Linked DNA regions of Drosophila melanogaster. The protein of the gene in region 2 interacts with the protein of the main gene of each other region in a pairwise test. Each region holds a gene or a part of one and is shown on either strand. Other genes may lie near its edges.

What was found.
Region 1: the proteins of Cks85A (region 2) and PHDP interact in a two-hybrid assay, tested with the Drosophila melanogaster proteins (one large-scale study listed by BioGRID).
Region 3: the proteins of Cks85A (region 2) and RPA2 interact in a two-hybrid assay, tested with the Drosophila melanogaster proteins (one large-scale study listed by BioGRID).

The regions. Positions count from the first base shown.
Region 1 is NT_033778.4:23,880,451-23,891,449, reverse strand, and holds PHDP (putative homeodomain protein), read left to right. Parts: upstream 1-7,009; 5' UTR 7,010-7,137; coding exon 7,138-7,414; intron 7,415-7,509; coding exon 7,510-7,703; intron 7,704-7,971; coding exon 7,972-8,163; 3' UTR 8,164-8,314; downstream 8,315-10,999. Other genes in the region: DNAlig1 (DNA ligase 1), read right to left, coding at 1-311, 372-662, 718-780, 838-854; DCP1 (decapping protein 1), read left to right, coding at 1,258-2,376; CG5597 (uncharacterized protein), read right to left, coding at 2,705-2,969, 3,048-3,325, 3,386-3,576, 4,324-4,372; CG4882 (uncharacterized protein), read left to right, coding at 9,133-9,335, 9,390-9,729, 9,863-10,540; TM4SF (transmembrane 4 superfamily), read right to left, coding at 10,801-10,999.
Region 2 is NT_033777.3:8,713,771-8,724,769, forward strand, and holds Cks85A (Cyclin-dependent kinase subunit 85A), read right to left. Parts: upstream 4,687-10,999; 5' UTR 4,567-4,686; exon of another isoform or gene 4,273-4,566; coding exon of another isoform or gene 4,079-4,272; intron 3,572-4,078; coding exon of another isoform or gene 3,355-3,571; exon of another isoform or gene 3,126-3,354; intron 2,799-3,125; exon of another isoform or gene 2,473-2,798; intron 2,110-2,472; exon of another isoform or gene 2,046-2,109; 5' UTR 2,028-2,045; coding exon 1,969-2,027; intron 1,899-1,968; coding exon 1,667-1,898; 3' UTR 1,430-1,666; downstream 1-1,429. Other genes in the region: CG8112 (uncharacterized protein), read left to right, coding at 376-1,406; TMEM216 (transmembrane protein 216), read left to right, coding at 3,355-3,571, 4,079-4,272; CG11760 (uncharacterized protein), read left to right, coding at 5,563-5,818, 6,034-6,227; CG8136 (uncharacterized protein), read left to right, coding at 7,770-7,791, 7,853-9,156; nom (numerous disordered muscles), read left to right, coding at 9,472-9,591, 9,663-10,180, 10,364-10,612, 10,681-10,906.
Region 3 is NT_033779.5:20,919,909-20,930,850, reverse strand, and holds RPA2 (replication protein A2), read left to right. Parts: upstream 1-4,703; 5' UTR 4,704-4,804; coding exon 4,805-4,817; intron 4,818-4,875; coding exon 4,876-4,937; intron 4,938-5,000; coding exon 5,001-5,587; intron 5,588-5,676; coding exon 5,677-5,755; 3' UTR 5,756-5,876; downstream 5,877-10,942. Other genes in the region: CG9270 (uncharacterized protein), read left to right, coding at 1-708, 767-1,183, 1,238-1,267; Nthl1 (Nth-like DNA glycosylase 1), read left to right, coding at 3,052-3,162, 3,227-3,694, 3,760-3,930, 3,987-4,403; Mtp (microsomal triacylglycerol transfer protein), read left to right, coding at 8,099-8,165, 8,780-9,579, 9,635-10,565, 10,625-10,942.

The DNA.
Region 1 (10,999 bases), on a different chromosome or scaffold from region 2:
GTGAAACGCGCGACTGCTCGGCCACGATGCCCAGATCCCCGGTTAGCTGCGTCTGCGATTTAATGTGAGCCAAATTACGCCCCGTTGCCTTGCAAATGGCCTTCATCAAGGTGGTCTCGGCAACGCCCAGCTCCAGTCCCTCGTAGGCGGGCGCCAGTTGGTTGATGCTGAGGTAGACGCTGGGCACAAGATCCTCCGGACTGACCAGCATCACAGAGCAGAAGAAGTTGCTCAGCGTGTCGATCATCTTGAGCCGGCCTTTGGTCTCCTCGATTACTTGAAATGTGCGGGCCAGTGCCAAGTAGGGAGTGCTGGAAAGTGTTTCCTTTGATATAATTCGCCTTGGAGGCTCAAAATCCTGCACTACTTACACCTTTTTGTCCTTCCAGTAGGCATTCTTGAGCGGATGATAGGAGTCGGCGGATGGATCGTAGTTTTCCACATCCTCCTTAGTAGCGGCAGTGGAGTTGAGACCTATGGTTGTGACCTTCTTGTCAGTGGTCTTGTCATCGACTTCCTTTGGTTCCTTCTTAACATTTTTCACCGGACTTGTCTTCTCCTCGGAATCCACAGACATAGGTTCTACCTTGGGCTTAGTTTCCGGGGAGGCACTTTCGCTCTTGATGTGGGGTTCATCTGGGAGTTCGGTCTTCGCATCAATCCTATGATTTGTCGAGGAATTTAGTAATGAAACAAGAAAACAGCGGCACCATTTACTTAGGAACTTTCTTGGGCGGCGAGGGGCTGTCGGTGGCATCGGATTTCTTCTTGAAGAAGGAGCTGAAACGGGGGATTGTTAGATTGGCAATACTTAGCATTTGTTAAATCGTAAATTACGTTATAGACTTTTGCATTTTGTGGCAATTCTGTGTTCAAATAAATACAAATTGCAATGCAATTAGTTCCCGCCAGTTTCTAGAGCTGGTCTTCAGTATCGATATATTGAAATGGAAATGCTATCGAAGTTGAAAATTTTATTAGTAAACATAAATTAAATGTTTATGCTACATAATTGAGAAATATTATTACGTACAATTGTGGCCATTTTTATATGCAAGTCAATCGACTTAATATTTCTCAAACAAATCATTAATAGACAAAAGGAAGAGTTTATTGTCATTCGGTGTGACCGCAGCACAGTCGTTGATAAACACGGGAAAACATCCACGGGGCAGTGTGACCAGAGCGCCGTTAAATTCACAAATAATTGCAATTCGCAATAGCACAGCCAAAACTGAAGATTACATACAATTTACAATGGCCGACGAGAGCATCACGCGAATGAACCTGGCGGCCATCAAGAAGATCGACCCGTACGCCAAGGAGATCGTGGATTCGTCCTCGCACGTCGCCTTCTACACGTTCAACTCGTCGCAGAACGAGTGGGAAAAGACCGATGTGGAGGGAGCCTTCTTCATATACCACCGCAACGCGGAGCCCTTTCACAGCATCTTCATCAACAACCGACTGAACACCACGTCCTTCGTGGAGCCCATCACCGGCAGCCTGGAGCTGCAGTCGCAGCCGCCGTTCCTGCTCTACCGCAACGAGCGCTCGCGCATCCGCGGCTTCTGGTTCTACAACAGCGAGGAGTGCGACCGCATCAGCGGCTTGGTGAACGGGCTGCTCAAGTCCAAGGATCAGGGAACGAATGGCCAGGCCCAGCGTCACGTCTCCGCGCCCCAGCAGCCAAAGCAGGACAGCAGCCAGCCGGCCAGCATATTCAACATGCTGACCAAGGCCCAGAAGGACTACAATGCCCAGGTGAGCGGCGGGCAGCCGAAGACGCCTTCGGCGGAGAACGTAACGGCCGGCAATGTGTTGAAGTTCTTCGAATCGGCCAAGCAGGCCACGGCAGAGTCACTGTTCCACCGCGTCCAGCCGCTCTCCGTGGACCAGCTGGAGAAACAGCAGCGGGCAGCCACGCCTGGCGAGGATCTGTTGCCCCCGGCAGGCAGGGACAATCACGAGAGCCGGCTGTCGCCCTTCCAGAAGATGCAGCAGCTTAACATTCAGCTCCTGAGCGACCTGAAGATCGGTAAAAGCTACGCTACGGCTCAATCTCCGACAGTCGCCCCGTCCTCGTCGGCGCTGATGGCCAACGACGATGCCGGCAAGTGCTTGCGGAGACTGCTGGCTGGCGACAAGCCCGGGCCGGCCCTCATGCCGCCCACCATGTTCGACGCGCCCAACAACGGCAATCCGGAGCCACAGCAGCCACAGCAGCCACAGCAGCCACTGCTGAACTCGACGCAGTTCGTCCAGGCCTTCACGTACCTTATCCAGAACGATAAGGAGTTTGCCAACAAGCTGCACAAGGCCTACCTGAACGGCTGTTCCAATCTACTGCTGGACTCCAGCTCCACATATCAATAAACAGAAATATTCAACATTTCCGAATTGCAGCCCATATTTTCATTTGTTCGCATGGAGTTCGAGTTCAAGCCGAGTTAATTTACAAAATGTAATAGCTGTAAGCCGACAAGGGCAGTCGTAGATTTAAAATCTAGAAGCCCCGCCGGAGAAGGACGGCATCCATTTCCAGAGCAACCTTAAGAGTTAACTAACGTAGTTGGTTTTGTGAAGTATTCGTATTTATTTACAAAATGGTTAACTAGGCCGAAGGGGCGTAGAAAAGGTAGTTGAATGGCAAACAGAATTCAATAAACATTAATTTAGTAACAATAAATAACAACGCTTTTATTTAGGCCAATACCTTCAGCTTGCAGAGCAGGTAGTACAGAAAACAAAACAGCCACAGGCTGAAGTCGACGTGGCTCCTGCCCGCCGCCGCGGACGTGGCCACCGTGGTCAGGTTCTTGCCGTATCCCTCGAAGGACACCACGCACTGGTAGGCATCGGGATCGTCGTCGGTGTCGTAGGCCGCCACCACGGCGCTGCCATCGAAGTATCCCTCCTCGTTCTCGTACACCATGGGCTCCCGCTTCACCACGTCCATGTCGTTGGATCTGTAATAGGAGCGGAGTTGAGTTGGGACGTTGTTTACTACAAGGCTGTCTTACGACAAGGCAGGCGCTCGTCCTTACATTATCGTGATGGTGGGCCTGGGATACACGTTCGTCACGGTGCAGTTCAGCTGCGTCTCATTGTGGATCGTCTTGTGGGACAGCTCCAGGGTGTAGTTCCTCAGGTCTATGACCTGAACCCTCTGGTGGCTGGAGAAGGTGTTCAGCGAGGTCTGCACCACGCACTTGTAGTCGCCGGTGGTGGCGATCGTGGGGTTGATCAAAGCCAGCGAGCTGTACTGCTTGCTCGGCTCCGTGGAGCTCTCATAGGTGCTGTCAATCTCGTTCCTGAACTCGGGCTATCAAGGAGGGGAAAGCGGTTAGTATCTTAAGCGCACCACACCGTTTGGTTCACTCACGATGGCATATGGAGGTGTTCCGAAGATCCACTGGTATATGGACTTGTCGTCTCTGTACCATTTGACGGTGATGAACTTCGGGCTCTCCTCCACCTCGTAGTCGCAGTCCAGGATCGTGGGCTCCATCTCCTCGTTCTGAAGGACTATAATCTTGTCCTCGGACTCATCCCTCGTGGGATAGCATAGCGCATCTGGGGGAGAGCGAATATTACTGATTAGAACGCAGAATTCAGAAACGAAACGAAAAGCTTTTAGCACGACGAGGTCTCGAAATTACAGAACACGCGCGGTATTATTTGGAATATATGTACATATGCAGCACAGGCAAATCCAAAACACATTGTACACAAAAATCTATATAATTTGGCGAAAGCGTATATTTACGAGAAGCGAAAACGCGATGAGCGGATGCCTGTTTCGTTTTAAAAATAGACACTAATAACAAACAAAAGCTAGAAAATTGAACATTTTTCATTCGGCAGTTTGTCATCATGTGTGCCAAAATTCTGAAAACTCTGTTCAATTTTATTAGGTTCCTTTCGCTGGAATCTTTTGCTTTCCACTTAGCATCTATTGCTCCGACTTCAAAACCACTGGCGCTTTTTCCACATTGAAAAACATATAGTTTCGAACACGAATAATTGCACGTAAAATCCTTCAGCCCGTTCAAATCCACAAATTAAAGGATAATCGAATCTGCACATATTGTTTATATATTGTTTATATATTGTTTATATTCCGTTTTAGCACATGTTAACTCAGAACCGAATGTGGATATACGTTCGTATTTATAGATATCCGATTTGTCATTATTTTTCTCAAGGTTTGCGCATTCGAAATTCGTTTATATGCGCCTTCCGAATGATTTCATTTCTTAATTTAAAAATCGCGTTTCCCATATCGGTTGCTGGCTGGATCGCCACAGGATCTGGCTGTACCTCTGTGGAGCAGTCCGATGGCCAGAATGGCGATCAGCAGGGTATCCATAACGGTCACTATCCTATCTACACTTCCACTTCCACTCGTATGCCAGACTTCTCAACCGATCCTAACTCAGCGGTCCGCTCGGCATGGTACAACTAAGGCAACTAAATGCTCTTGGCCGCCAGAGAACCGAAAACTGAAAACCGAGAAATGAGGAACGAGAGCTCTTGGCCAAGACCACGCAGCGTAACCAAACGAATTCGAATTTAGCCGAGATAATGCCGGCACTTCCTCTCCGGCACACGATCCTCCTACCCTAACCCTCCTCCTCCTCGCATAGCCCGTGCCACTTGACTTGTGCGCGACTCTCGGAGCACAAGCACGATCTTTGCATGGACATGTGGGGAGATCGCTCCGCAGCTGGCCAGGCACCACCACCAACCAAGTCGCCCTGCATGTGTGGGGGTTGGACACAACCTTTCCGCTTCGATACTCTCCGCTGCTCCTAGCTGCCGTTGACTATTTGAAAACCAGTTGGCCGCCCAGCTGAGGCGCACTCCTACAACTAGGGATAGTCGAGGGTAACATGCAAGACCGTTAAAGGACAGGGGGTGTCGAGCGTAGTCCTTAAGGACCTTTTCTTCTTCTCGACCGAAGTTAAGGGCTGTTGTAACGATTGGCGTTAATAATATGCTGTCTCCATGGCAATAGGGATCATTAACATTCCTGTAATTCTGTTGAAATTCCGATAGAAGGCATTTTTAAGTCGAATTTCTCGAATTTGTTTACAATTGAATAAATCTTAGGGTATTAGCCGTTCAGTTACTCATAGGTTTAAGTATATCCATATGCTTGAGTTTTTGTAAAGACTTAGTTAGTCGTTCCAACTCGGTGATTAGCAAAAGAAAAAGCCTTCACTATACCAAGTTAGTGTGTAAGTGCAACACACACCTATGCATGATAAACCCTTTTTCTTTACTTTATGTTTTCCAAACTAACGTTAGTTGTTTTCAGAATGACTCAATAGAACCTGATACTTGTTCGATGCATGTAGTTCCAGGCTCATTTGCACCCACAACTAGGTTGAAACCTACTTAAACTAGCTTCCCATTTAGATGCTCTATAACTAAATAATATGTTGCTGTTTTTACAGGATTTTCGGGGTGGGTTTGAGATCGGGTTAAGCAAACAATGCAGGTGGGTTTCGTTCAGGTCGATCACCTCCAACATCTGGTTACTATACTATTTATTAAATGTAAAATGAGTTCATATCTTTGCGTTTGATACAATTACAATTGGAAAGGTTATAATTTTACACATATATTGGATATATTTTAACCTAAAATGTAACACAGTAACTTATTCCAAAACTTTCGGAATGTCGTAATGTTGTATTATTATGATTGCCATAACAATTCTCCGATTTACATAGACTTGCGATTTAAGTAATGATTACTACAAAGTAGAGTTTCTTTTTGCACGAGTGTTAGTTTGAGCATGATGTGCATCTATTAGGTGGCTTTGTTTTCCTAGAGACTTAGTCGTTCCAATTCGTTGATTAAGAAAAGAAAAGGCTCACTCTACCATGCAAATGTGTAAAATCCACAAAGGCAACTAAGACCATTTTTCAACTGGAAAAAGAGGCACATTCTAAACTTTTACCTCGTATGTTTGACTAAACTGATCCCAATGAAATTGTTTCCGAAGATAGATACATTGAATTTGGAACTGTTTTTCTTTGAAAATTTAACTAAATGGCTTCAGCACATGGAACAACCAGCCTATCCTATTAGCAATCCAGCATTAGGGTGTCCAAAAAAAAAAGGACTTCAGCGCAGAGTAAATAAAAATTAGGCAGGACTCTGATTAGCAGGAATTAACTAATCGAAATAATCCGCAGAGCAAATAATTGTTTCCGAAAACAGGGGTTGTATCCTGCCAGTGACTTTAAACAATGTTTCAATCAGCCCAATGTTATAAACAAGAAAAGATAGTAAGGTGTCTCTTATCCATTGTGTGCGGTACAACACCATTTGTTTTATCAAGTTGGCGAAGTGCTGTACTCGTGATGACGGACTGTCCGATACCCTTTCCATTTCATATATGAAGTTTAAATATATTTTATAATTTATGTTACTTTGGCTGTTCCTTAAGAGTTATTGCAACGTAAAGAGGATTTTCATTTTTCTTACTTTTTATATTATCCCAGAGAAGCATTTCCTTTAATCGCTCAGACAGGACATCCCAGCGTCATGGTTGCCCGATAAGCCAATTTAATCTTCTGAGTGTTGCTTTTTGAGGCCTGTGAAAATTGGTGCACTCAAAGAAAAGTTCGCTTAAAGATGGAGCTTGGAAAATATTCAGATTTTGAAGAAATATTCATTGAAAAGAAGATTTCTGAGTGAAGATTAGATCAGAGCCAACAGACAGCGATGCAATCAATGAAATTAAAACCAAAACCAATTCTTTAGACATGCTGTGACAAGTCAATTGGGGAAATGCGGTGAATTTTCGCGCAGTGCACGACACGCGCCGGAAAGTCAGATTTCCACCCCTATGTCGAGTGGAGCTCGTTAGGACCGCCTCCAAACGCGGAAACGAATGAAATTTTCCGTCCCGCTCTCCCGAGACAAGTGCAGCATCCTTGTTCGTCCAACGTGGATGTCCTGTAGTTGATACAATCGTAATCGAAGCTTATTTATTCAAGGGCAGTTAAAAGTGTGTGCGGCCGCGGAGCTACTATAACTATGTGTTTTATGGCCGAATGACTCATTAGCGGGCTGTAAAATTTCAATCGAGTGCCGTGTGTGAATTTACCTGCAGATGCGATGGAATTTTCACTGCTCAACAAGGCGAACTTCGACAAGGATTGTTTGTACACCGCGAACTCGGAGTTCTACAACAGCGGCGCCAATGGAGGAGGACTCTCCGTGGCCAATCACATAAATCACTACAACCTCATGATTGACTCCAGTTACAAGCTCTGCGCCAACGAGTCCGCAATCCGGGGTTCCCTCAACCAGGAGTCGAGCTTATTGTTCTCCAAAATCACCACTGTCTCCGAGTTTTACCCGGCCACCCATAACATTGGCTCCTACAACACGGGTAAGTACAGTGGCCATCAGTTCCACCTGCAGCCAGTGCACCTGGATGGATCGATTATGGATTGTAATCTTGAACCAACTCTCACCTCGCCATAGACTTCCATTTGAAGTCCTATGGAGACGACGGCTTGAGCCTGACCGACAAATCAAAACAGAGGCGCATTCGCACCACTTTCACGTCCAACCAGCTGAACGAGCTGGAGAAGATCTTCCTGGAAACCCACTACCCAGATATCTACACCAGGGAAGAGATCGCATCCAAGCTGCACTTGACGGAAGCTCGAGTTCAGGTGAGGAAAACTAATGAGATTGAATTGCTGGTTAAGTGAGTGGGTAGTTTAGGATACACATATTTCAATAATTAACATATAACAAATAATACTTACATAATATAATATAACTATTGAAAAGAACTCGATCTGCTGTTGATAGGTTCAAATATTATAGGTTTCTCGAAGCCAGCTTACAATCGAAACGAATTTAGTCATATCCTGTTGAAGGATACAAAACGACTTAGTAATCGAAATTAAAAAAAAAAAAAACCATTGTGTGTTTTAGGTCTGGTTCCAGAACAGAAGAGCCAAGTTTCGCAAGCAGGAGAGGCATGCCATTTACATAATGAAGGACAAGTCGAGCAAATTGGATGGCCGGAAGAATCCTGTAGCAGGATCGAAATACCTGGGCCCATCTCTCAAGGGACCCCAGAATGGCCATGGCCGTCAAATGAAATGCTTATACGATCAAATATAGAATCCACTAATATCTATGTAAATATTAGTATACATTTTGATGAATGCAGTTATTTTGATATTATTTTTACTGACTATTTGGAGCGAATTGCGTTAAATAAATAAGATCTGTGTAACACTTTGCTTGTTTTCATATCATCCGGGACAACTGGCTTAGCACCCTTTTGAGGGCTCAGCCGGCTAAGCCTGTGGGAAGAAAAACAAGGACTTGAATGGGGGTTGAAGGGTCACCATCTACAAGTACCAAACCTCACGCCCTTCAGGGGTAAATTGTCATCCCATTATCGGGTGGAAAAAGTGGATTGGATCGGCATTAGGGCGTGTAATCAGTTGATGGTGGCGATTCGGTGCGCTCAATATAGCAATTGTTGTGGAGTGCCCACCGCAGGGATTGGCGGTGAATACCTTTCAGATCTAATTAACAAGATCAAGATTGAATTGCAGTTTATTGAAATCATATGTGCCCAGATGTATAACTTAATATTGCAATTTATAAGTAGTGCCCGCCTTTCAACACCCTCGAATGATTTTAATAAACTGTGAAATCGTTGTTCATTTTACATTTTTCTACACTTCATTAGTGAAACGTATATACAGATATTAAATATATACATAAATATACAAATATCATTTAGCCTTTTAACTATATATAAAACGTACTCTTCCGTTTTTTAAATAGTTTTGTTGCAATTTGATTTGATTATTTTATGTGTTTTTTCATTTAGAATAAAAGAATTCAAATTAATTATTTTATTCAAATATTCCAAGGACATTTTCAATTCCATCGTTCCCGGAAAAAGCAACATATTATAAGTCGAAATACCCTCAATGCTTTCGAATACGAAAATACCGCTATCTGCGGTATTAACTGGCGAACGCGCTAGGGATTTTGTTGCTCTTTTGGCCAGCTGCATGTTATTTGTTAATCGGCTGGTTATAACACTTTATGAATTAAAAAAGACAATTGACAATGCTGCGATCGAGGATTTCCTGCGCACTGCCACCCAGGAGACTGGTGTCCTACTTCTCGGCGGAATTCAACAAGGTGGCGCACGAGGGACCGGCTAAATTCGCCGCAGGCAGCAGTCATGCCGTAACGAGTGTGGATTTGGATGTGTTCGTCAATCCGGATAACCGTCCCATGGACCTGGTGGACCGGCTGCTCAAGCTCAGGTGGGTGCGGCCATATTGGAAGTAGTGTCCCTACTCATAAGATAACTCTTGCAGGAAACAGAAGGAGGCCAGTTTGGTGCCGCTGATTCCCAGTGTCTTGGTCAAGCAATTGCTGGACTCCACCAATCCGCAGGAGACGATATCGGTGCTCCGTAATCCCATCCAGTACGGGCTCTTTGTGGACCAGTTCTCTGGCTGCTTCCTGTTGGACTTCCTGCTGCACAATGGCCACGCGGTGGAATCTGCCCAGCTGGCCACTATTCTCGTGGACAGAAACTTATGCAACAACGAGTTGCTGGAGTCCCTGGCCCTACAGTCCTTCTGGTCCTTCGCCAAGGAGTTCAAGCCCTTCGAGTCCTCTCAAGTTCAACCTCCTGCCAAAAATGTTGAAGTGGTAAGATGATTTTCGATAGTGGCTGAATTATCAGCTAAGCGGCTGGAAACTTTATTCACTCATAAATAGCTATTTAAGATTTTGTTCATTTTGGCATTTTACCAAGTTTACTAATCATACCTGAATTTGCTAGGAAAAAGTTCGCGTGAAGTTCATTCGCAATTACCCCGACGACGCCAGCGAAAATACCGAAGAGAAGAAACTGGGTCGCGCCATGGTTCGATTGGGCTCCGGCGAAGGGTCCTTGAAAGAGCTGAAGCAGAACGTTGCCCTACTTGGCTATGTCCTAACCGGACAAGTGCCCGAGGCCTCCAGCTTTCTGGCCTCGAACTCAGCTGCCCTGCACAAGGAGACTCTTTTAGCCGCACAGAGCATAGTTGAAAGCCTCAAGCTGGAGGGATCCGAAGAGCTGCTGAAGTCCCTGCAGGAAGCCGTTGAGAAGAGTAGCAAATCGAATGCCATTCAATCGCTACTGGAGAACAGCGTCAAAGCCAATGTGCAGAAGTTTGAGCCCAAACTGCTGGCCGACTACGGCGAGTCGTATCAGGAGTGGGCCAAGAAGTTTGAGGCAGCGGTGCAGCGACAACTGGATTCGCAGAGCGTGGAGGAGCGTAAGGCCACCATCCAGAAGACCCTCAGCGAACTGGAGGCGAAGCGGCAGAACCTGTGGTTCTTCGAGAACCGGGACGACATCGACATCCAGATCTACAAGAAGAAGGTCTACTATCCCAAGCGCTGGTTCGGCAAAAAGAAGAAGCCCAAGGCAGCAGACACCTTCTATGTGCCGCCGACTATCACGCACAACGGCTAGTGGACAACCCGTGGACCCACGACAACTCCTGGCCACAAACAAGTTAGATCCAATTGTTTTTAAGCTTTAATTAAACTACTGGAGAGTTAATCCAAATTCAAATGTTGTTTCTTTTCTCGAACGTTAAATTGTTTAAAATTACCATAACGTAACATTGAGGGTCACAGTTATATTCATTCCATCTCAGTTTACAACATTTTTTTTATACTTTTTCTTTGGAGTTTCCATAAATTTTTGCATCCTTAAAAGCTAATCGTCTGTCATTTGTGCATGGCCGAGGGCAGAGCAGTTTTTAAAACCCGCTGCCCGGGTGCTGAAGGGGATAGATTGATGGGCGAGGGCATGTCGTGCCTCTTGTCCTGTATGGTCAGGGGCAAGAACTGCTGCTGCTTCTTTTTCCGGTTCATGTTCATGGGATGGGTGTTGTCGTTCTTGCCGAACAGAATGGTCAGGTGGACA
Region 2 (10,999 bases):
GTAAGTGGGTTGATCCAATTATCATAAAATTATAATATTAATTTATGGTCACTATATAAAGGATTGTAATGATAATTTATGGAATCATATCTGCTTTATTAAAAATGCAGGTAGAGTTAAAAGCTCATAACATAGCCTTTTGTTGAGGCACTTGACCAGCAAATTGTGACGACATCGCCTTTAACAAAGGAAATTCACTTACCAGTTACTCATCTCGGTTGAATTGTACAACGTTTACTTGCGCGTTTGCTCTGATTGTTAAAAAAAAGCATTTCCCATAAAAGTAAAGTAACTTAAGAGAAGATAAGTGCAGGAATATAGAAATGCTATTAATAAAAGGACGTAATTTCTTTGAACTATTTTCTAATCCTGCAGGTTCTCTCCAGCGCTTTTGGTCGCACAGCTGTCTCATCCTGTACATCAGCTCCCAGCTGGTCTTCTGTTTCGTGTCGACTTCGCTGTGCCTCAAGTTCAACCTGCCCTTTGTGAGTGCGTGTATCCTGTTGCTCGAGAGCACGCGACTGCTGATGAAGATGCACGCCTTTGTGAGGTACAATGCTGAGCGCGTTCTGAATGGCAAGGCCAAGAAGGAAGATGCGGAGGAGGAGAAAGAAGGCAGTGAGCGACCCTTTGTGCCGCCGCTGAGCTGTTACACGTACTTTTTGTTTGCACCCACGCTTATCTACCGAGACAGCTACCCGCGCACCTCCCACATCCGCTGGAAGTTTGCCCTGAATCGACTGTTGGAGGTGGTGGCCATAGCCTTCCTGTACGCGTTCATCCATGAGCGGCACATCCACGAGCACTTCGGACAGTACGGACTGGAACCAATGGGACCCTCCCAGCTGATCCTCAAGCTGTTCGGCATGATGCTGCCCAGCGCGGTGATCTTTCTGTGCGGCTTCTACCTAATCCTGCACTCGTGGCTGAACTTCACGTCGGAGCTGCTACGCTTCGGTGATCGAATGTTCTACAAGGACTGGTGGACGTCGCACACTTACGATGGCTACTACAGAAACTGGAATGTCGTCGTGCACGACTGGCTGTACGAGTACGTGTACAAGGATATGTACACTCATGTGTTCCGAGGTTCCAAGGTGGCCGCCTCGCTGGCAGTGTTCATGATCTCCGCTGTGGTCCATGAGCAGGTTCTCGGCTTTGCCCTGCAAATGTTCTTCCCAGTGATGTTCTTCTTCTTTGGGGTCGTGGGTGTTGCCTTGGTATTCCTAATGCGGAGTGCTCCAAAAGTGATGGGCAACATCTTTCTGTGGTTCTCTCTGATCCTGGGAAATGCCACGCTGATCTCACTATACGCCATGGAGCATTACGCCCTAAAGAACTGCAACCTAAGCAACGAGAGTTGGACGTATCGCCTGCTGCCGGCGGTATGGCGCTGCTACAATTAGTCAATTAGTTAAACACTACTTTTAAACTGTCTGTACACAGGGCGTACGCTTCGATTTGTATTTTAGGTAAATAAACTTAATGAAATTAACAGAAACGATGTCTTCAGTTCGTTTCGTGTCTTTGAACTTCCCAGCTGAACCCTAAAGCTATGGTTTCTTATTTTACATCAGGCTGCCTGATGCTAACTTATGAAATACTACGTGAGCATTGACGAGTGCGTCCTTGGAAGAGCATTCCTCGGCGGCATGGCATCCTCCGCCTAACCGCAGAGATTCGCGATGGCCTGAGCCGCATTAGCGGCTGCCACCTGTGGAGCGTCCTCTGCCGGAATGCGTTTGCGTCGGAATAGAATCACATGCGGCTCCGGCGCGTGGACCATGTAGTGCACCCAGCCGGGGCTCTGCTGCACGCCCAGGTTGCGCCACTCCGTCTCGGTCATCAGATGAGCCTTCGGCACATGTTTGGCCAAATCCGGTGGCAAGATAACATGCCTGCAGGGAGGGAAAGTGGTTTGTGTGTAAACAAACAGTTCACGGATGCTGAAACGCAAGTTGAACGTACCTGTATTCAAAGTTGTCGTCGAAGTACTTCTCTGAGTATTGAATTTGATCGGCCGGCATTGCGAAAAGCCAGAAAACCTGAGGTAAATTAAGCAATTTTACCAAAATAGGTCAATAAATTCAGATAGATATGCCACAACTGATTCGATTCTAAATACTATTGTTATCGCTGCACGTATCGAACATAAAGTTATCGATTTGGTTATCAGCTGTCCAGTTAACAGCACCTTTGGCGGTAAACTCAAATGTACTGTTTTTAATGGCACGATCTTAGCGGGCTTTAATATATTGAACATAAACTTTTTTCTGTATAACAATATTTTTGCAATGTTTAAAGCCATTTTAAAGCCATTTTGTTAAAAAAACGAGTACTTTGTAAAAAGATGCTGTTAGAAAATGTTAACATATTTAGCGAATGAAAAACTCAATTGGATAATATGTGATTTCCAGTGTGACCGGAACTCGCAGGCTCGCACATTTTCCAAATGCAATCGGCAATTTCTCCGTTACTCGCCCATGGCCACATTTGTGCATGTGCGTTTGAGGTTCCTTTCCTTTTTATATAAGCCCCTCGTCTCTTGCCAACAAACCAACAACAACAACAACCAGCCAGGCCAGCGGGCAACAACAACGCACAACAACGCGTATAAATAAACGTGAACGCATGTACTTAATATTAGCATAGAGTTGTCGCCTGCGTGCATTTCATATACATAACATAACATCCACTTACTCCCATGACAACGGGACTTTAGACAGTAACGGTGGAGCAGCTAGAAGAAGAGGAAAGGCGAAGTAGAACGGGAACAAGAAGAAAAAGCAGTGGAAGAGGTGAGGACGATACGTAAATACAGTCAAACTTCCATAAGTAGATACGACTTTACTACTACAATAAAAAGTGTCCTTTAGTGATGAAGAAAATGGGTTCTAAGAACCTAAAACCTTTATGTATATGTACTCCCTATTGTCGCTTAATGAATTTACCGTTACGGTATGCTAGTAAATAAATGCATACAATGTACATATGTAGATACATAGGCACAGCAAAACCACCTATAAATTCGATTGATTTTATGAAGTTCTAGTTGAGGAAGTTTGACTGTATGTATGCGCGCATTGGTAAATACGAGCAGACCGCAATTAGCAAATATTTTTCAGTCCAGCAGGTATCACTCACCACGTACCGCCCAAAGGTCCCAATGCTGGCGTAGAGAAGCCGAAACACCTGCTGCTGCCAGTGGAAAAGCGGGAGGAGCTGCTCCAAACTGCCCAGGTGACATCCAATCATTTAGAGGCGACGCACCTGCCGCCTTGAGGAACTGGTCGCCACGCAGGAGGACACGGATACGGCAACGGTTACGGACTCGTTTCCGCAGTAGCGGGCACCATGAACGCCAGCCTCATCTATGAGATACTTATGTATCTGAACTCGTTCTACTTTGGCATGTACGCCGCCTTCGAAGTGGGCGTGGGCGTTCTTAAGGCGATTAATCTAAACTACGGCGAGAACGCGTTGTCCCGGGAGGCCAGCATCCTGCTCTCACTGTGCATCATCGAGACCGTGCGCATTGTCTTCGGGCGGAAGAGCAGTCTAAGCGATCGTGGTGAGTAATCCCCATGATCCCCATGTTACTGCAAGGGTGGGAAAAGTCCACCGGCAGCGATGATGACATGGCGAAATTATTTGTTTGCCCGGTCACAATGCCCATTTCATGCCATCCCCCTACCTCCGGGGCCATAACCCATAAACGTTTGGACGGGCATACATACATATATGTATGATGTAGCCCACTCGGCGTATGCGTAATTATGGTCATCACCCCGGATGAAAACACGCGTTTTATGGTGGCAGGGGAAAGGCGCCCTTCTGGCACATTAAGCAATATGCAAAGGAAATCTATCAAAGCGAATCATCGAAATGAGTTATTGGAAAAGCAATTGGAGCTGTTAATATTAATTATCGCAATGTGTAAACATGAAATTATTAGTATAATACTTTAAAACACTGAATCACTTTCAATCGAATACACTTAATTATAAACAAGTAGACGAACTATACGATTTTCCGTGCATCTGTAGCTAACATTTTCCTTGTTTTTCTCTCTTTGCAGGCTGGCAAGCAACCGCATCCGTAATATTAACACTGCCCAGTCTTGCTATTGTTATCTACTTGTGTTGTTTTCAAACCTTTGTTCTCAAACTCGAAATTATTCTGAGTGCCTTAATGATCACCCTACAAGGTGCTGAACTAGTCTACGCCAGCATATTCATTTGTACAATGTGTCGCCCCGTCACATACACCTAGCAGTTGATAAGCCGCGTTGCCGCCGCCACGTCAACGACCAAGATCGAGATCAAGACCAAGCCAGCACTAACACTCCCACCTGGAGGAGAAGGAGTAGAAGCATCCACAGCCGAGCGACGACTACGACGAAGACGAAACACTTTCCTCTGGCAATTTCACATCAAACGATTCGCCAAGGCCTCAAAACTAAGCCACTTAAATGCACACTAAGCCACCGCACATAAAAACAAAACAAAAAATCTAGATCCTACTAGACCTCCTAGGAATCCGTGCCAAGACAACCCGATAACATACCCAATGGCTGGCAGTTGAGGAGGACTTTCAACAAGGTACGTGAACCTTTATAAACTTATATAATCCGCACAGATCATTCGCGCCCGCGGAAATCACATCGCAGCGAAACACGACGCGTCCGATTCTATCAAAAGCAAAGCTGCATTTAATTTGCATTTCTTGGTTGCATTCTTTTGCCCGGCCTTTGTGGCGTTGCCTCCCTGCTGGCGCAGTTGCTCCTCGGACCCGCTCGGTTCTGGTATTTTTATACGGCTCTGATGGTCTAAAATTATATGCGAACTGCACGGCTCGTGCAACACCGCTGCTGTCCCCTAGGTGCAATGTACACTTCTAATTTGAATGTAATATACACGGCCCACTGCGGGCAAGTTAGCCTGACTGTAATGGCCAAGATGAGAGGGCTCTCCGTTTGGTCTTTGGTCTAGTGAACATGCCCTGTACGATTCACAGGAGAGAGATTCACGGGACTTTAGCGAGGCATAACGCTTTGAGTTTTTAAAAATAATTAAAATTCCAACAATGGTTTTCATATATTCACCCTAAACCTATCCTGAATTTCAAGGTAACCATTTAATGGCCCTGGGCCCTGTAGAGCATAACGCCCAGGGAGTTTTTAGTAGTTTTTTCCCCCCAACTAGCCGCCAGTGAAATCATTCTCCCCCACATTTCTAGGCAGGCGATCTGCCGGCCAATGCTGACCCAAACAGCGAGCAGAGAAAACAAATAAAAGGCGACAACGACCAGCAGCACATTATTCAAATAAACAGCACATTTCGCAGCGACAAACCGTGAGACCGCCGATGTCGATGCCGCTGCCGCTGCATTGGCCAAGCACGGCAGGTTCGCGTTATTATTATGGTCAGTCTATAAATACAGTGCCCAACGTGAGCAACGCCGCCGTGTGAGCGATCCGGGAGATCAAATCGGTCCAATTTGCCGTAGACATCGAGGGGTAACAGGAGAAGCAGCAGAAGGAGGTGCTAAGCCGGCAGAAAGATGCCGCCCAAGCGTCCGCCACCGCTCGTGCCGAAGAAGCCAAATCCCAGCATGAACTACGAGGTGTTGATCTACCTCAACTCGTTCTACTTTGGCATGTTCGCCTGTTGCGAGATGGCCATGGGCCTCCTGAAGGCCATCAATCTCAGCTACACGGGACATACTCTAGCCCTGGACACGGGGGTGATGATTAGCTTCATTGTCTTTGAGACGATCCGATTGATAATGGGGCGCATGAGTTCGCTGGCCGATCGAGGTAGAAGCTCCCGCCTGCTGGCTGGTCTAATTATAGGATATTCTAAAACAATAGAATCATCCTCAATGGCGTTATCAATCGTTTAATCAAACCAAACCATTAGACTTAAGAAATACTAATTAACTCATTATCATCCTTATTTATAATTGTAATAGAATAGTATCTATGGCTTTTACAATCAGATTCTAATGAACTCTTCTGCTTTTCTATCACAGGCTGGTCGGCCATACTGTCGGTCTTCATGACCGCCCCCTGCTTTGTGGGCGTCTCCTATCTACTGCTGCTCCAGACCTACCGACTGCGCCTGGAGTACTGCCTGTGCACGCTGCAGATCGCCCTTTACCTGACCGAGGTGTGGTATGCCATCGTCTTCGTTTTCTCGCTGTGTCGTCCAGTAACTTATGATTAGCCATATAGACAGAAACATCCAACAGCCAACTAGCAGCAAATATACATGCGAAAGTTTAGCAATCTATAAGATCGAAAAAGGATAATATGCGGTGTAAGGAAATTTAATGAATTTGAAAAGCAGTAGGCAGCTGAATTGCTCATGGCCGTGGAGAAGAGAAACCAAACAGAAAGAAAAAAAAAACAAAACAAAACACATATGTAGCATATTAATAATTATGTATAGTAAGGTTTATGATAACATACACACACTCTTATATACATATATTTAACGGTTTTATATACAAAAATTGTTAACATTTAAGCATCAATTGGAACCAATATAAGACAACAAGCAAAACCTAAAACTTGAATAATTTTCACAATTTTAAGATGAAAATTTTTTTGTAAAAAGAAAAATATCGAAAAACAGCCGAAAAACAAATTTGATGTGTGGAAATAATAATTTATAATAGTTCACAGATAGCTCGAATCTTAAAAAGAATTGTAAAAAAATCAGTGGAATGTCTCACAAAATCTAGTCAGCATCAAAATCATGAAAAACAAATGGCCGAAAGGCCATTAAAAAAATTCATTACCACTAAGAGTCAGCGTTTAGTAGTTCATACCAATATTCAAAAGGCGGAGAACAACATAATTAAGCCCAGTTAAAAGTCTAGACCATGTGTGTACTTTAATGAAACTACTTTATATAAACCTAGCAAATAGCGTAAATAACATTTTCAAGACGTCACTAAAAACAATGCAAACCCGAGCGGGCAACCGTTTACTAGAAAGCGAACAACAAATTAGCTAAATCATATAAAACATTTATAGAGTGTTAAAAACTAGGCGAAAACCCTCCATTACACTTCTCCCCAATTCAGCCTATTGGCAACTCGAAACGCCCTTTAAATCACGCTCAATTATCCCCGCCTGATAGGATCCGAGGATTGCAGCTCCTCCAATGCTAGTCACTAATGTTCACAAACATTTTCTAAGCTAGACCGAAGATTGTGTAATAATTTGATAAGACCTTTGTGTGGTTTCATAGCAAAATAACGCACAAATCGATAACAAAAACTCTCAACAGTCCACAAATCTCATGCTTTTAAAACAAAAGAAATAATTTTACTGAAACCAAACAGCTGGAAGCTAGAAGCTGAAAGAAAACCAAAGCCACATCCTACGTTGAATAATTTACCTGTATAATATTTATGTCATTTCGTTAAACGCAAAATGTTAACATACTTTTAAAGCGCGTGTAAAACGGATAGTTAATAAAATAACGACAACAATATTTAAAAGAACATATACACTCGATGAAAATGAATATTAAAGATCGAAAAAAAGAAAAAGGAATCTGTTATTAGTAGGCCGTGGGTTCAATAAGATCTTTTCGAGTATGATAGGTGTATTTCGTTTTGTGCCTCCAAAATTTCAGATATTATTCAGCTACACACAGACAGGCCTCCCAAATTTGTAAGCTCTGTAAATTCAAAACCAGAACTGCTGCAGGCCAGTGGCGAAGTTAATTTGTCAGAGGAAAACTCAAGCCATCTCCATGGATAAAAACCACAAGTCGGGTGAGTCAAGCCGAGTGTGGCATCCTTAAGTTGTTAAAACTATGTGTGTTCTTTGCTCCAGAAGAGGGGTTTGGACGTTCAATGTCTAGTAGCAGTCGCCGCGTCATGTGGAAGCTCAACGAGGAGGAGGAGACATTCGACTCCTTGGTCAATTATCGGCGGCTTCCTTCGCGCAGCCTAAACCGAAGTCAGGTGACCGATGTGCCCACCAAGGGACACACTACCTCCGAAAATTGCCAGCTGCCAGCGCAAGAGTTGGAAACAAAGAGCGCCACCAACGAACAAGGTGCATTGGGCATAATGTCGGTTAGCCTACCGCAAACAACCAGGAATTCCCATCAATCGTCGGCCACGTCACTGCCGGAGGCCAAGGGATGCACTGCCACCGAAAACTGCCAGTTGCTAGCGCAAGAGGCGGAAACAAAGAACGCCAGCAACGAACAAGGTGGATTGGGCAAAATGTCGGTTAGCCTGCCGCAACAAAACTGGAACGCCAATCAATCGTCGGCCACGTCACTGCCGGAGGCCAAGGAGATCAGCTCCAAAGAGCAGGCGATCATCTACTGGCGGCGTCTTTTCGATGGTATCCACAAGCGCCAGCGTGGCGAAAGAAAAGTTGCAGCAATGCAGCCCGAAAATACCACAGATGTCGTGCTGACGTCCAAGCCAAACCTGGCATTGCGCTACAAGCCCTCCCATGAGTCGCTTAAAAACAAGCGGATCAAGGACCTGGCTCCTGAACGATGCCCGAGCACGTCCCGGGGATCAACGTCCTGCAAACTGGTATCGGACCTCAAGATGGAGACGTTCAGCCTGCCGCCGCAGCAGACGTGTGTGGTGCGCGAGGTGGAGCCTCGGTTTGGCCAGCGCCGACGCATGTTGTTGGCCAACGACACGGATTCGTGCTACTCCGGCGAGCTGGAGGTCCCCAAAAACAGTCCCGTCCAGGAGCCAGGACCCTATCCGCGCAGCGAACTGATCAGTGTCCATGTCTCGGCGCCCACCAGCTCCTCTTTTACGGGAGCAACACGGCGGAGTCTGTCTCCAACTAGGCAGCGCACTGCGACGAGCAAGGTGGCCGCCGGGACGAAGGGCGGACCATCACCAGCAGTTGGGGGCAACAAGTGCTCGAGCGTCAGCAGCGGGAGTGCAGGTACCAGCCAGCTGCCTAATTTCCGCCAGCGGCAGCAAGAGCTCCATCGCTATCGCGTTATGATCGAGCAACGGCGCCTCGATCTACTCGAGCTCAAGATAGCCCGCGAACGCGAGGAGGCGCTGCACAGCGAGGTTCTGTTTCACAAGGAACTGCAGATCAAGGAGAACATGATCAAGGTGTACGAGGACAACGACTGCTCCAACGCCTAGGACTTCCTTTATTCCTAACTCTTTCGACCCCAAATTCAGAAAGGTATTTTACACTTGGCAATGGCCCTGGCCTCAGTAGTTCAAAACACTCAGTCAAATAAAACCGAAATTCATTTAGACATCCCAATCTAGGTTTTTTATTAACTACCTGAGAAATAAGTATCAAAACTGCAATATATGAAATTCAACTTAGCGGGTAATTTCAAATCTAATGTGCCCGTTCGTTTACAGCACTGGCAGTGTGTGCGCATCGCTGTGAATGGACATTAGCCCCAAACAACTTTTTATTTCATTTGTTTAAACCGAAAACGTGAAATGTTAATAAATGTGTGCCGAGTTTGCGGCAGGAGCAGGCTGTGCCCCAAAGCCGTGGAGCTCTTCAAACCTGGCAGACAGGATATTCTTCGCCGCATCCAACTAATAACCGGAATTCTCGTGAGTTAAGGAATCAAAATGGATCGCGCAATTTACATATGTGCGAGCGCTTCCTTTTTTGTATTCTGCAGCTTCAGCAGATTCCCAATGCTCCGGATATGGTGTGCTTTTGCTGCCAGACAGATCTGCAATCGGCCATGATTTTCCGGAGGCAGTGCATCCTGCAGCAGAAGAAATGGGTGCCATTGCTACAAAGTGATAAAGTGGGAGCCAGCGAGGAAAAGAAGGTGGAACCCAATGATCCCTCAACCAAGAAGAAAACGACCAAGCGGCGAAGGGGGCGACCCAGGATGCCACTGGAAATTGTAGATATAGTCGTAACGAACGAGAGTAAGGCTTCAGCAGGTGAATCAGTTGGTGGTGATGAATTTGATCAGCCGGTGGAGATCTCCAATGAACCGGATGCCACCGATAGCGATGTTAATCTGGAGGAAATAGATCTTCCGGATGAGGATGGCTTGGAGTCGGATCACGATTTACCCAATGTTCAAATCCACAAGTGCGATACTTGTGGAATTATCAAAAATAATAAATCATCTCTGGTCAGGCATCAGTTTGAACATAATGGAATAAGACCATATCCCTGCAAGTAAGTAAGAATCGCGACGAAAATATACATTTACTGATACTTAAATAGGTCCGTCGTCTTTATCTTTATCTCTTCGTATCTGGTCCATTATCACGATTTGATTAGCATACATTGTGCCTACATACATACATATGTATGTAAATTCTTTTTCTTTGTACAGTATCTGCAATATGTATTTTTCAGGGAGTGCCCAAAGACCTTTCTGGTAGCGAGTGAGCTGAAGGCACACAATCTCACCCATCACACCTTGGAGCCCCCGTTCGCCTGTCGCTACTGCGATCGTCGCTACTTCTCCGTGGTGGGCAGGAAGAAGCACGAGCGGGTCCACACCAACGAGCGACCATTTGTGTGCGATCAGTGCGGCAAGGCCTTCACCAGGACCTGCATTCTGAAGGCCCACATGGCGGTCCACCAAGTTGTAAGGAAGTATAGGTACTTGATGAAATTAAAAAAAAACATGTCGAGATACATTCTGTTATAATCTTTCATTCCCGTTTTAGTTGCGATGTCTGCGATCGTTCGTTCAGCCTGAAGAAACATCTCGCTACGCACTTCATCTCCAATACCCACAAGCGGAATGCTGAAGCCGTCACCTCGTCGTCGGAGTACATGTCCATGCTCAGTTTTGAATCGGATGAAACCTGGTCCCAAGGCACTCCACTGACCACTTCCATTGACGAGGATCTGGTGCAGTCGCAATTCGACCTTTTGTGTCAGGAAGTTTAATACATCTCAAGATGCCATATGTTTTATCAATATACCAAAAAAAAAAAAAAAATTTAGGTAAGAGCTAACCCACAAAGACTTAATAACAGCTGA
Region 3 (10,942 bases), on a different chromosome or scaffold from region 2:
GACTTACTCACCAAGGAATACGATAACTACCAGGATATCCACAGTTCCGGCTACTATACATTCCTGTCCACAAATCGAGCCTTTGGTTACTATCTGGATCTGTTTTGCGTGGCCTACGTCATATCGGTAACCCTAATGAGCTATTTTAACCCCCCCGTGGATAATCCTGGTCAAATCGGTTTAGTTATTACCCAGGCTATGTCCATGACGGGGACTGTTCAGTGGGGAATGAGGCAATCCGCTGAGCTGGAGAACTCCATGACTTCTGTGGAAAGAGTGCTAGAATATAGGCACCTGGAAGCAGAGGGAGAATTCGAGTCCCCAGACGACAAGAAACCACCGATGAATTGGCCACAAGAGGGTCTGATCAGTGCGGAACAACTAAGTCTAAGGTACAACCCCGATCCCAAGGCAGATAGAGTCCTCAAGTCACTGAATTTCATTATCATGCCACGCGAAAAGATTGGCATCGTGGGCAGAACTGGTGCCGGAAAGTCCTCCCTTATAAATGCCCTCTTTAGGCTGTCCTACAACGAAGGATCCTTGGTGATAGACAACACCGATATTCTTGGAATTGGGCTTCATGATCTGCGCAGCAAGATCTCTATAATTCCCCAGGAACCTGTGCTATTTTCCGGCACCCTGCGCTGCAATTTGGATCCCTTTGAACAGTATGCTGATGAAAAATTGTGGGAGGCCTTAGAAGAGGTGAGTAATTACCAAACCTGACAATCATAACTATAATTAAACCATTTTCCCTCGCCAGGTGCACCTCAAAGATGAGGTATCCGAGCTGCCGAATGGCCTGGAAAGTGTGGTTGCCGAGGGCGGATCCAACTACAGTGTAGGTCAGAGGCAGTTGGTCTGCTTGGCCAGGGCGATTCTCCGCGAGAACCGCATCCTTGTGATGGACGAGGCTACCGCAAATGTAGATCCCCAAACAGACGCCCTCATACAATCCACCATTCGCAGGAAGTTCAGAGATTGCACAGTTCTGACCATAGCTCACAGGTTGAACACGATCATCGATTCGGACAGGGTCATGGTTCTGGACGCTGGTACTCTAGTGGAGTTCGGATCACCATTCGAACTACTGACCCAATCGTGGAGCAAAGTCTTTTACGGGATGGTGCTCCAGACGGGTCGGTCGAGTTTCGAGCACCTTCTGAAGCTGGCACTTGAGGTCAGTAGATGAATATTTATTAATTTTGTTTTGTTGGTAATGCTTTCTTTGCAGGCCCACGAAAGAAGACTGCTATCTCAATGATTAGAGCGTATATAATTCAAATATATTCCATTTTCCATTTTTTTTGTTTCTTAAAAGCCGATTGCGATTAATGAGAAATACAATTTTTTGATTACAATGTTGTTATTACAGTATTGTGGTATACAAACAAGAGAGAATGCTATAGTCGAGTTCCCCGAAATAAATCCCAAGGTGCATCCCATAAAACTACCTTATGTAATAGACGGAGGATGACATAGGCCACCTCCTCCACATAGTCGAGTCTATAAAGACCAAAATGTTAGTTGTTGGCTCAACGCATGTTGGCTCGGATTCAAGGAACTGCTAGGACGCGGGGAGTCTCAGGTCCATTACTTTACAAGTAACTTACTCGGGCGGATTTCGCGCACCTTGCTTAATCGGGTTGATGTACTTGAGAGACCCATTGCTGTTGCCACCCAACACCTTGTCGTTGACAGATCTGCAAAATAACAATAGATTTTTACTCTTTGCCCAATGGCAACCCGTTGTATGTCACATGCTCAACTCGCTTGTCAAGTAACATCGATATGCAAAGGGATCCCCATTACCTGTGGACCTCCAGATAGAGTCCGTTAATGTTCATGGACGACTCGGGATCCATCCTGTTTTGAAGATAACGCACTCGCTGTTCCCATTTTTATCGTAACAATATTTACCGAAAAATCACAATTAAAATTTATGTCAGTCTACATAAAGAATTATATATCAGTGAACTAAAATGGGAGACCTGCCAAAAGTTTGAAGTTTTGAGGCTGTCAACTTTTTCAGTGCTATAGTGATTGAACAACGCTCCAGTAGCCAATCCTTTGTTAAAAATATAAAAAAAAATAGAACCCTGTGGAAAGATAACGATATCCGTTGTTCCCCAAAAGCAAATATGTATATCCAAAGATGAACATACATTTGTTTTAAGCGTTTATTAACTCAGCTTTACTTTAGCTATACTTAAGCTACTTACCCATCAGATTAAAAACAAGAGAGAATGCTATAGTCGAGTTCCCTCGCACAGCTGGAAGTGTGAACGAGAAATTTCAATATTTTTTGGAATATTGGTAGAAATTGGAAACAAAATAATAAAATAAAAATTTAAATGTTGCTGAGAATGTGGGCGTGACAGGTTTACGCGGCTTGTGGGCGTAAAGTATTTTGGCATATAAATTTACAAAACTAACATAAAAATCAAAAAATAGTAAAACATTTTTCAAAAGTTTGGGCATGACAATTTCGGGCTGTTTATGGGCGTTAGATTGGAAATCGGTTCTACAAAATTGCGCTACGTCTATGTCTCTAGAACCACTGTTCTTAATCTCAACCTTCTAGCTTTTATAGTTCCTGGGATCTCGACGTTCATACTAGATCGACTGATCCTGATCAAGAATATATATATATGTAGTTGGTCGGAAACGCTTCCTTCTGCTTATTACTTACTTTTCAACGAATCTAGTATACGAATATCGGGTATAAAATTTATTTTAAATATCTTTGTTAAATTTTATGAGCTGTTGATAACGAAATCGAAAAGTTTGTACTTTTTTTTAAATCAAGTGCATTAAAATTAAATTTGTGGCTTAAAATGTATTGTAATAGCTTATAACTTATTATGCTGTAGCATACGAAAAATGGTTCTTAAAATCCTAACTTGCATGAGTTGAATATTTCGAAATTTCAAATGTTCCCGGCTACTTAGTTGTAAAGTGTGGCCGTTTCTCCTACATCGAAATCGATAGGTTCGAAATGTAAACAAACATGGAAACTGAAACTGAAGCGCAGAAATTGTATTAGCTATGGCCAAAAATGTAAAGAAATTAACGTTGGCCAACAAGTTGGCAAAACGCGGAGATCTTATAAAACCCACGGAAATAAAAAGTCGTCCAAATAGGGCGGATAACGTGAGGGTAGGCGGAAATGCATGATAAACAATGAAATTGATACTCAAGACGCAGTTTCTAAATCTTCCAGGATATAGAGGATCTGGTTGGTGTATCTGCTGGCGCAGCAGGATCGAGTAGCTCAGTGTTCTTCTCCCCCGTGCAAACCCGCAAGCAGCGTCTCTTAAATGGGGAAGCCGTGAAGAAAACTAACATTAAAATGGAGCCCTTGTCTCCAGCTCGAGTGGCACCCAAAAAGTTTAGAAAGGATGATCGCATGGTAACCAGAGTTCAAATGGGTTCGGCTACTGTGGTCATATGCAAGGTGGTCCCTGATGCTGTGGACTCCCCAGTGAGAGTGGATAAGATAAGAGAGGAGGTGGAACCCCAAATAAAACAGGAAGCTCCGGAGGATTCCCCTTCTTTTTCTGAGGTGCAAGCACCACATCCTTTGTGGTTTAACCACCTAGAAAACATTCGCATTATGAGAAACTCCAGAACTGCGCCAGTGGACACCATGGGATGCCACCGATGCGCCGATTTAAAAGCAGACTCGAAGGTATTTCCAATAAGTGGAATTAAGTACATAGAAGAATATGTTACAAGCAAACAACTTCCTTGCAGACCCAGCGCTTCCAAAACTTAGTGGCATTGATGCTGTCCAGTCAAACCAAAGACCAAACTACTTATGAAGCCATGAATCGCCTTAAAGACCGAGGTCTAACTCCACTGAAAGTAAAGGAAATGCCAGTGACTGAACTCGAGAATTTACTGCATCCCGTATCCTTCTACAAGGTTTGGTGGAATTAATAATAAATAAATATATCGCACTTACTCTCGATCTCTTCCAGAACAAAGCTAAATACCTCAAGCAAACCGTGGAGATACTGACGGACAAGTATGGTTCGGACATTCCAGATAATGTCAAGGACCTTGTAGCTCTTCCAGGAGTTGGCCCCAAGATGGCCCATATATGCATGGCAGTGGCCTGGAACAAGATAACCGGAATCGGAGTGGACGTCCACGTCCACCGCCTTTCTAACAGGCTGGGCTGGGTGCCGAAGCCCACCAAGGAGCCCGAGCAAACCCGTGTGGCGTTGGAGAAGTGGCTGCCATTCAGCCTCTGGTCAGAGGTCAATCATTTGTTCGTGGGATTCGGACAAACCATTTGCACCCCAGTGAAGCCAAATTGTGGGGAGTGCCTGAACAAGGACATTTGTCCTTCAGCCCATGCTGAAACTAAAGAAAAAAGGAAGAAAGACCGATAGGAAAGAGGTTCAGCGAACGCTGAAAAAGGTTTTAGGTTTCTAAGTGTTTCTGAAATTATTAGTGCTAAGAAAAATATTGTGTTACCCATAAGAAAATAAATGAATTATTAAGGGGGCTGTAAGTCCTGTAAAAAATAAAAAATTTTGTGGTTTTTCTTTTTTTGTTTTAACTGAAAAAGGTATATTCCCAATTTATTACAATAATTCAGTTTTTCAGGAAAAATATTGAAATATTGACACTACAATATTTCGTATTTCTTATATACTAAATAGATGTTATTCCTACGTGTTCGACCTACGGCCACACTATCAGCTCTACGTTCGCGCGTTTTATTGTTTACCAGCGGCCCTTGTGAAATTATATAGAATACTCAATTACAAATCCCTCAAAAGCCAAGAAAATGAATGATTCATGTAAGTATAGCCCGTAGCTCAGAGAAATTAAGGGAACTAATAACGAAGCTCGTTTTAGTTGGAGATTTCAATGCCACACAAACTGCGCCAACTGGAGCCGCCAGCAATCAAAAGGGAGAAGTAAGTGAGTGAGACGCCAGTAAAGTTGCACAACCTAACATGATTCCGTATGATTGCAACTAGGGAATAGTGCCCCTGGTGGTGAAGCAGATTGTGGACGCCCCAGAGGGAAACATCGAGTTGTTCGGCATGCAGTACGCCATGGCATGTGTTGTGGCCATAGTGCGGAACGTGGAGACTTCCTCGACGAAGATCACCTACACCCTGGAGGATCATAGCGGCAGGATCGATGCGCACTACTGGCTTGAGGAGGGCGACGCTCTCAAGGCACCCGAAGTAATGGTCAACAACTACGTGAAGGTCTACGGCACCACCCGGTCGCAAGGCGGTTCCAAAACCCTAATGATCTTCAAGCTACTGCCCGTTTTGGATCCCAACGAGGTGTGCACCCACCTGCTGGAAGTACTCAATGCCCGCTACAGGGCCGAGGACTACCAGAGCAAGGGTGGAGCTGGAGCTGGTGCAGGGGCTTCTTCCGGCTCAGGCTCCATAGCTGATTTCACCGCCTCCCAGAGCTCGGCCATTGTCAGTGGGCTGGAGCCCAAGCAGCAGGCCGTATTCCAGGCCATCAAGAGCAATGTTTCCGAGGAGGGCATCTCCCGCAAGGAACTGAAAGCCAAATTCTCCCACATCAGCGACTCTGAGTTGACGTAAGTTGTTTATCCAAAACTATTGCATCATTTGATATTCTTTATTAATTAATATTAATTATAACATTTTATTGTTCCTATTTTTACAGCAACATTCTGGACTTTATGATTTCCGAGGGACACATTTATTCCAGCATTGACGCAGATCACTTTATTTGCACAATGTAAATCAAATCGTGTAACCACTATTTAATTTAAAAATGCGTATTGAATATATGTATTAAGTTTTTGAAAAACGGGAACATTTTCCATATATTAGTTGTACATTAAATATTTCTTATATAATCAGAAAGTGATTTTGGGATATTTTTTATTGGGACTGTTGAAAATGTGTATTTGAGGAAATCTTGCTCTTCAAGTTGCCGGTGTATGTGTATATTTACGGCTTATCATATGAAAAGTCTTCGGATTCATAGTCCTAAGGGAATTTAAAATATCTTACAAAAAAGATAGAAAACCTGAAATATTTTAATTATTTTATGTTTAATTAATATTCTTGTTCATTTATAAAATTGTAATGGATTATAAAGTTTTTTTGAATCGTTTCACTTTGCTTCATTTGATAAAAGGATGTGATAAGTTCATACCGCTTTATTTCATTATCAATTTATTTTTTAGATATATAACTAACTAACTTTTAACGCTAGTAAGTTAATTGTTTAATTAGGTAATGCATATTTTGATTGTATATCGGGCATAGTTAGATCGGATTGCAAAAAATTTATAAAATTCATTCAATGCGTTTTATTTCATTAGTTTTTGAATTTATCATAGAAAATTACAAGCTCAGGAATCAAAATCAAAACATAATAGGCATGCAAATCAAAAATTAAGATTAATATTTGTTGTGGGAATTTATAGCGCAAGAGAGCATTCCCCTTGGTCCCCAGGATCTTGCCAGTGAAGTTGAACTGCGCAAGTGTAAGGATTCATTTTGCGGTCGGAGTGGATAGCTAATTGTATAAAAAACCACCTTGGGATACTGATTAACGGGCACGAAGACCTTTTGGGTAATCTTTATCGGCTTCTGCTTGTACACGTCTGCGTATAACTCCTTGCCGGGAATACGTCCAGTGCCATAGACACGGTCCACAGCTGCAATGTGGGATTAATACCATTAAAATACCCTGTAAAGGGCCGAATTGATTTTACCCTCGGCAATTAGCAGTGCGCAAAGTGGAAACTCCGCGGACAATCACTGGCTCTCCTCGACCAAATCGGCGAGAAACTTTTGGGTCACCTCGTTCAGACGCGGCTGGTGGTCGTGGGAAGGTGGCTGTTTCAAAGGTAACGCGCTTGCTGTTCCCATTTTTATCGTAACAATATTTACCGAAAAATCACAATTGAAATTGATGTAGACTGAATAAAGAATTATATATCAGTGACTTAAAAAGGGAGACCTGCCAAAAGTTTGAAGTTTTGAGGCTGCCAACTTTTTCAGTGCTATAGTGATTGAACAACGGTCCAGTCGCCAATCCTTAGTTAAAAATATAAAAAATAGAACCCCGTGGAAAGATAACCATATCCGTAGTTGTTCCCCAAAAGCAAATATGTATATCCAAAGATGAACATACATACATTTGTTTTAAGCGTTTATTAACTCAGCCTTACTTTAGACATTTACAGTCATACTTAAGCTACATCAGATTAAAAACAAGAGATAATGCTATAGTCTATGTTCCCCGACTATCAGGTAACCGTTACTCAGCTAGTGTGAATGCAAACGCGGAAGTTTCATAATTTTTCTGGGATATCGGTAGATATTGGGTAATAAAATAAATAAAAAAAATTGTTCTAAAGTGTGGACGTGCAAGGTTTGGCGACTTTAGGGCGTTAGAGTGGGCGTGGCAAAAAGTTTTTTGCAAATCGATAGACATTTATAAGACTAATACCATTATGAAAAAATACCGAAAAACGGTTCAAAAACGTGAAACGTTGTGGGCGTTAGAGTGTGCGTGGGACATGGATCAACAAACTGCGCTGCCTGTATGTCCCTAGAATCTTTGTTTCTAATCTCAACTTTTTAACTTTTAAAGTTCCTGGCTTCTCAACGTTCAAACGGACGGACAGACAGACGGACATGGCCAGATCGACTCGACTATTGATCCTGATCAAGAATGTATATACTTAATATGCGCGGAAACGCTTCCTTGTGCCTGTTACATGAATATAGTATGAATATTTTTGGAGGTTATAATAACATGTATACTCATTTAAATAAAATAAAAAAGTTTGTAGAAGCTCGAATAATTTACATACATTCTGGCACTCTCCGTAACAGTGGCGCCCTCTTGCTCGCCAGCTGTTCAATCTCACCACAGCCCAGCTCAGCGACTCTCAGCTGCTTAAAGTCACCACAAGTCAGAATCTCGCTCCTCAGCTCCGTTCTGTTTTCATTCCGCTTTTAATTCCGTCGCCTGCCGGCTCGGCTCGGTATTATCAATGAATTAAGTTTAATTTACCTCTGCTCAGTTTAATATAAGTACAGAATCGAACAAAGACCTTGGGAAAATGGAGAACAAAAATAAGAAGTGCCTGCGAACCCTGCTACTGCTGGCCCTCTTTTTGGGACTTTTGGGTAAGTAATGCCAATATTTGCGATTAGTTGGGTAAATGGGTTTTGATCAAGTTGAATGAACTCTTTGTGGTAGGTAGCGTTTGGCGATAAACAACAACATTGACAGTGCCACACCTCCGCCTACGCACACAAACAAAAGGCCGAAAGAGAACTTTTATCTGACACACTTTCCAATTGAAGCAGCTGTTTTTACAGTGGGGCAAGTAACAGTATTGAAGGTCAAGGAAATGTGACCTGCACAGGTGTTTCGTTTTGTTTCTGTAAAGTTAGACAAAAACGTGCAGTTACCCGACCCTGAATTGTTAAAAACCGAAACATAGATAAACATCATCATATTTGTTCCCAAAGATCCCCGGATTTAAACACATCCACATCGACCTTTGCTATCTATCACCCCATCCCTCCTTCAGATTATCACTCCCTCGTACACGTTGCTTCCACTATTTGCCTTATCGCTGCCCACTGTGCAGGGCCACTTGTTGATAACCTCGACCCAGGCTTAGTAAACGACGAAAATACATATCAGCATGTAGCGCTGCTTCTGGGTGAAAGTTATAACAATTCGTTTGACTAATGACGTGTTCTACTATTTCTTTTCGGCCACATTTCTGTAGAGGATGGAAAAACGGCCCTAATAGCTCCGAACAGTCAGCAAATTTTCAAGCTACAGAATCAAGTGATACTCCAGGAACTGGGACGAGATTCAAGCTCCGCGGAGACGAGCTATACATTTGAGACAGATCTCAAGATCAACTCAGTTTGGAGTGGAGATGAGGACCAGTTACTGGAGGTTTTTATCAGCGGAAGCAAGGTCGACGCCTCTGGAAAAGCCCGCTCAATTACCCGGATACCCGATAGACCTTTTTATATTAGTCTGGTTAGGGGACAGCCTGACAAGGTCATCGCCCATACATCCAAAGATCAATCCCTGTTGAACTTGGAGCGCGGAATTGCTTCCCTGCTGCAGCTCAGATTGGATGCTTCCCAGGAGGAGGAACTGGATGTTTCTGGCCTGTGTCGTGTGTCCTATAATGTCAAATCATCCACGAAAGTGGAGAAAACCAAAAGGGACTGCTCTCTGTGGGATCTCAGGGTCAACTATAACCCAGAAGAAGCTCTTGGAGTTACTCAGCAAGCCCAGGAGACGGTCTTCTACGAGCTCTCTTCAGAGGGCACACTCTTGCATGCAGAGTCTCAGGAGAATCACCGCCTCAATCTAGCTGCCAAACCGGATGTGGGAAGCTTCGTGAAGAGTTCGTTGATTCTGCAACACGTCTCGCAAGGATCGGAGGAAGTCAAGCAACTGCAACTAGGCAGCTTAGATAAGGCCATCCAGAGCCTGCTCGAATGGTATCGCGTTTTTGAGCTAGAGTCCGATGTAGATGGCATGATCAGTGCGATCAAAGAGCAAACGGTATGTAAATAATTTCAAATTTGGGGATTGCTGAACTAAAAATATATTCTTCCAGCTGGAGGACCAATTAAAGGCCTCTCTGACGGAATTGCAATCCGCCGACGTGGGCAAATCCTCGCTGGCTCTTGCGTACGTAAAACTAATTCCCCTGGCTCGCATCACAAGGCAAGAACAATTTGAAGATCTACTTACGGAACACGCAGAAGTTCTGCCCCAGTTGGTGGATCTTTTGGGTGCTGTTCAAACGTTCGATGCTCATAATGCCACCTTTGGATTCCTTTACAAGGAGTCGGAAACCACAAGCGAGCAATTGGATCTGCTAGAGAAATACCTGCAGTCCCTGGCGGTCGCCACCCATCCAGACAGGAAAATAGTTGAGCACTTGTTTGGATTGCTAGAACAGGAATCTATCAAAAAGCATTTAAAGCTGAGGGAAAGCGTTATCCAAACCGTGGCCACCTTGACCCGCCAAAGCGGACTAGATGTTGAAGATCCTTTGTTGAAGGAAGTGCGTTCTTATCTACTGCAAGGTCTCACCTCCAAGGAGCCTACCTTGTACATAAGGGCTCTGCAAAATCTCCAGGATCCTGCTACCATTGAAGCTCTGCTGGAGCACGCTCAAACTGGCGAGGCTCCCAATTTATCGGTGGCTGCCTTACAGGCTCTGAAAGCCTTTCCCCTAGGTAGCTTTAACTCTTCACATCGCTTGCAGTTCGAGAGCATATTCTACCAGCGAAAGCGTCGCTTTGATAGCTCCGCTCGCACTCTGGCTCTTGATATTATCCTGTCCCTCCGGCCAACTCAGGAGCAATTGGGCAACTTCTTGGATTACCTAGCCTCCAATGATCGCCAGTTTGAGATCAAAACATACGTGCTGCAGAAGCTAAGAATGCTGGCTGAGAAGTGCCCGCGATTTAGGGCTTTGTTCAAATCGGAGCTTGTCAAGCGGAGGCATGTAAACAACTACAATGTGCTGGGACAAAAGGGTGAGTACCTAATTTCCTAATGACACTGTTCAAACAATTATGAACTTTAATACTTACAGGTCTTACGACAGTCCTCACCCGTCAGCTTTCCCAGGCTCCAGCCTTCAACGAAACCCTGCTAAGTACCCAGGAAGTGTATCAGGGAATCCTGAAACGTGGCTCCGTGGAATTTCTGCTCCACGCAGGCCGTTCCCAAGCCAGCAGCTTTAAATTGGGCATCTACACTGCCGGCTTGGGCTCGCTGGTAGGCGATGGTGACTCCGGCGATGGAAATGATGCAATCCCGGCGGATGATGAGTTCAGCGAAGACGAAGCGGTCACCGCGGGCATGGAGATCAGTGTGCAGGGTGCTCAATTGCGACCCCTAGTATTCTTCA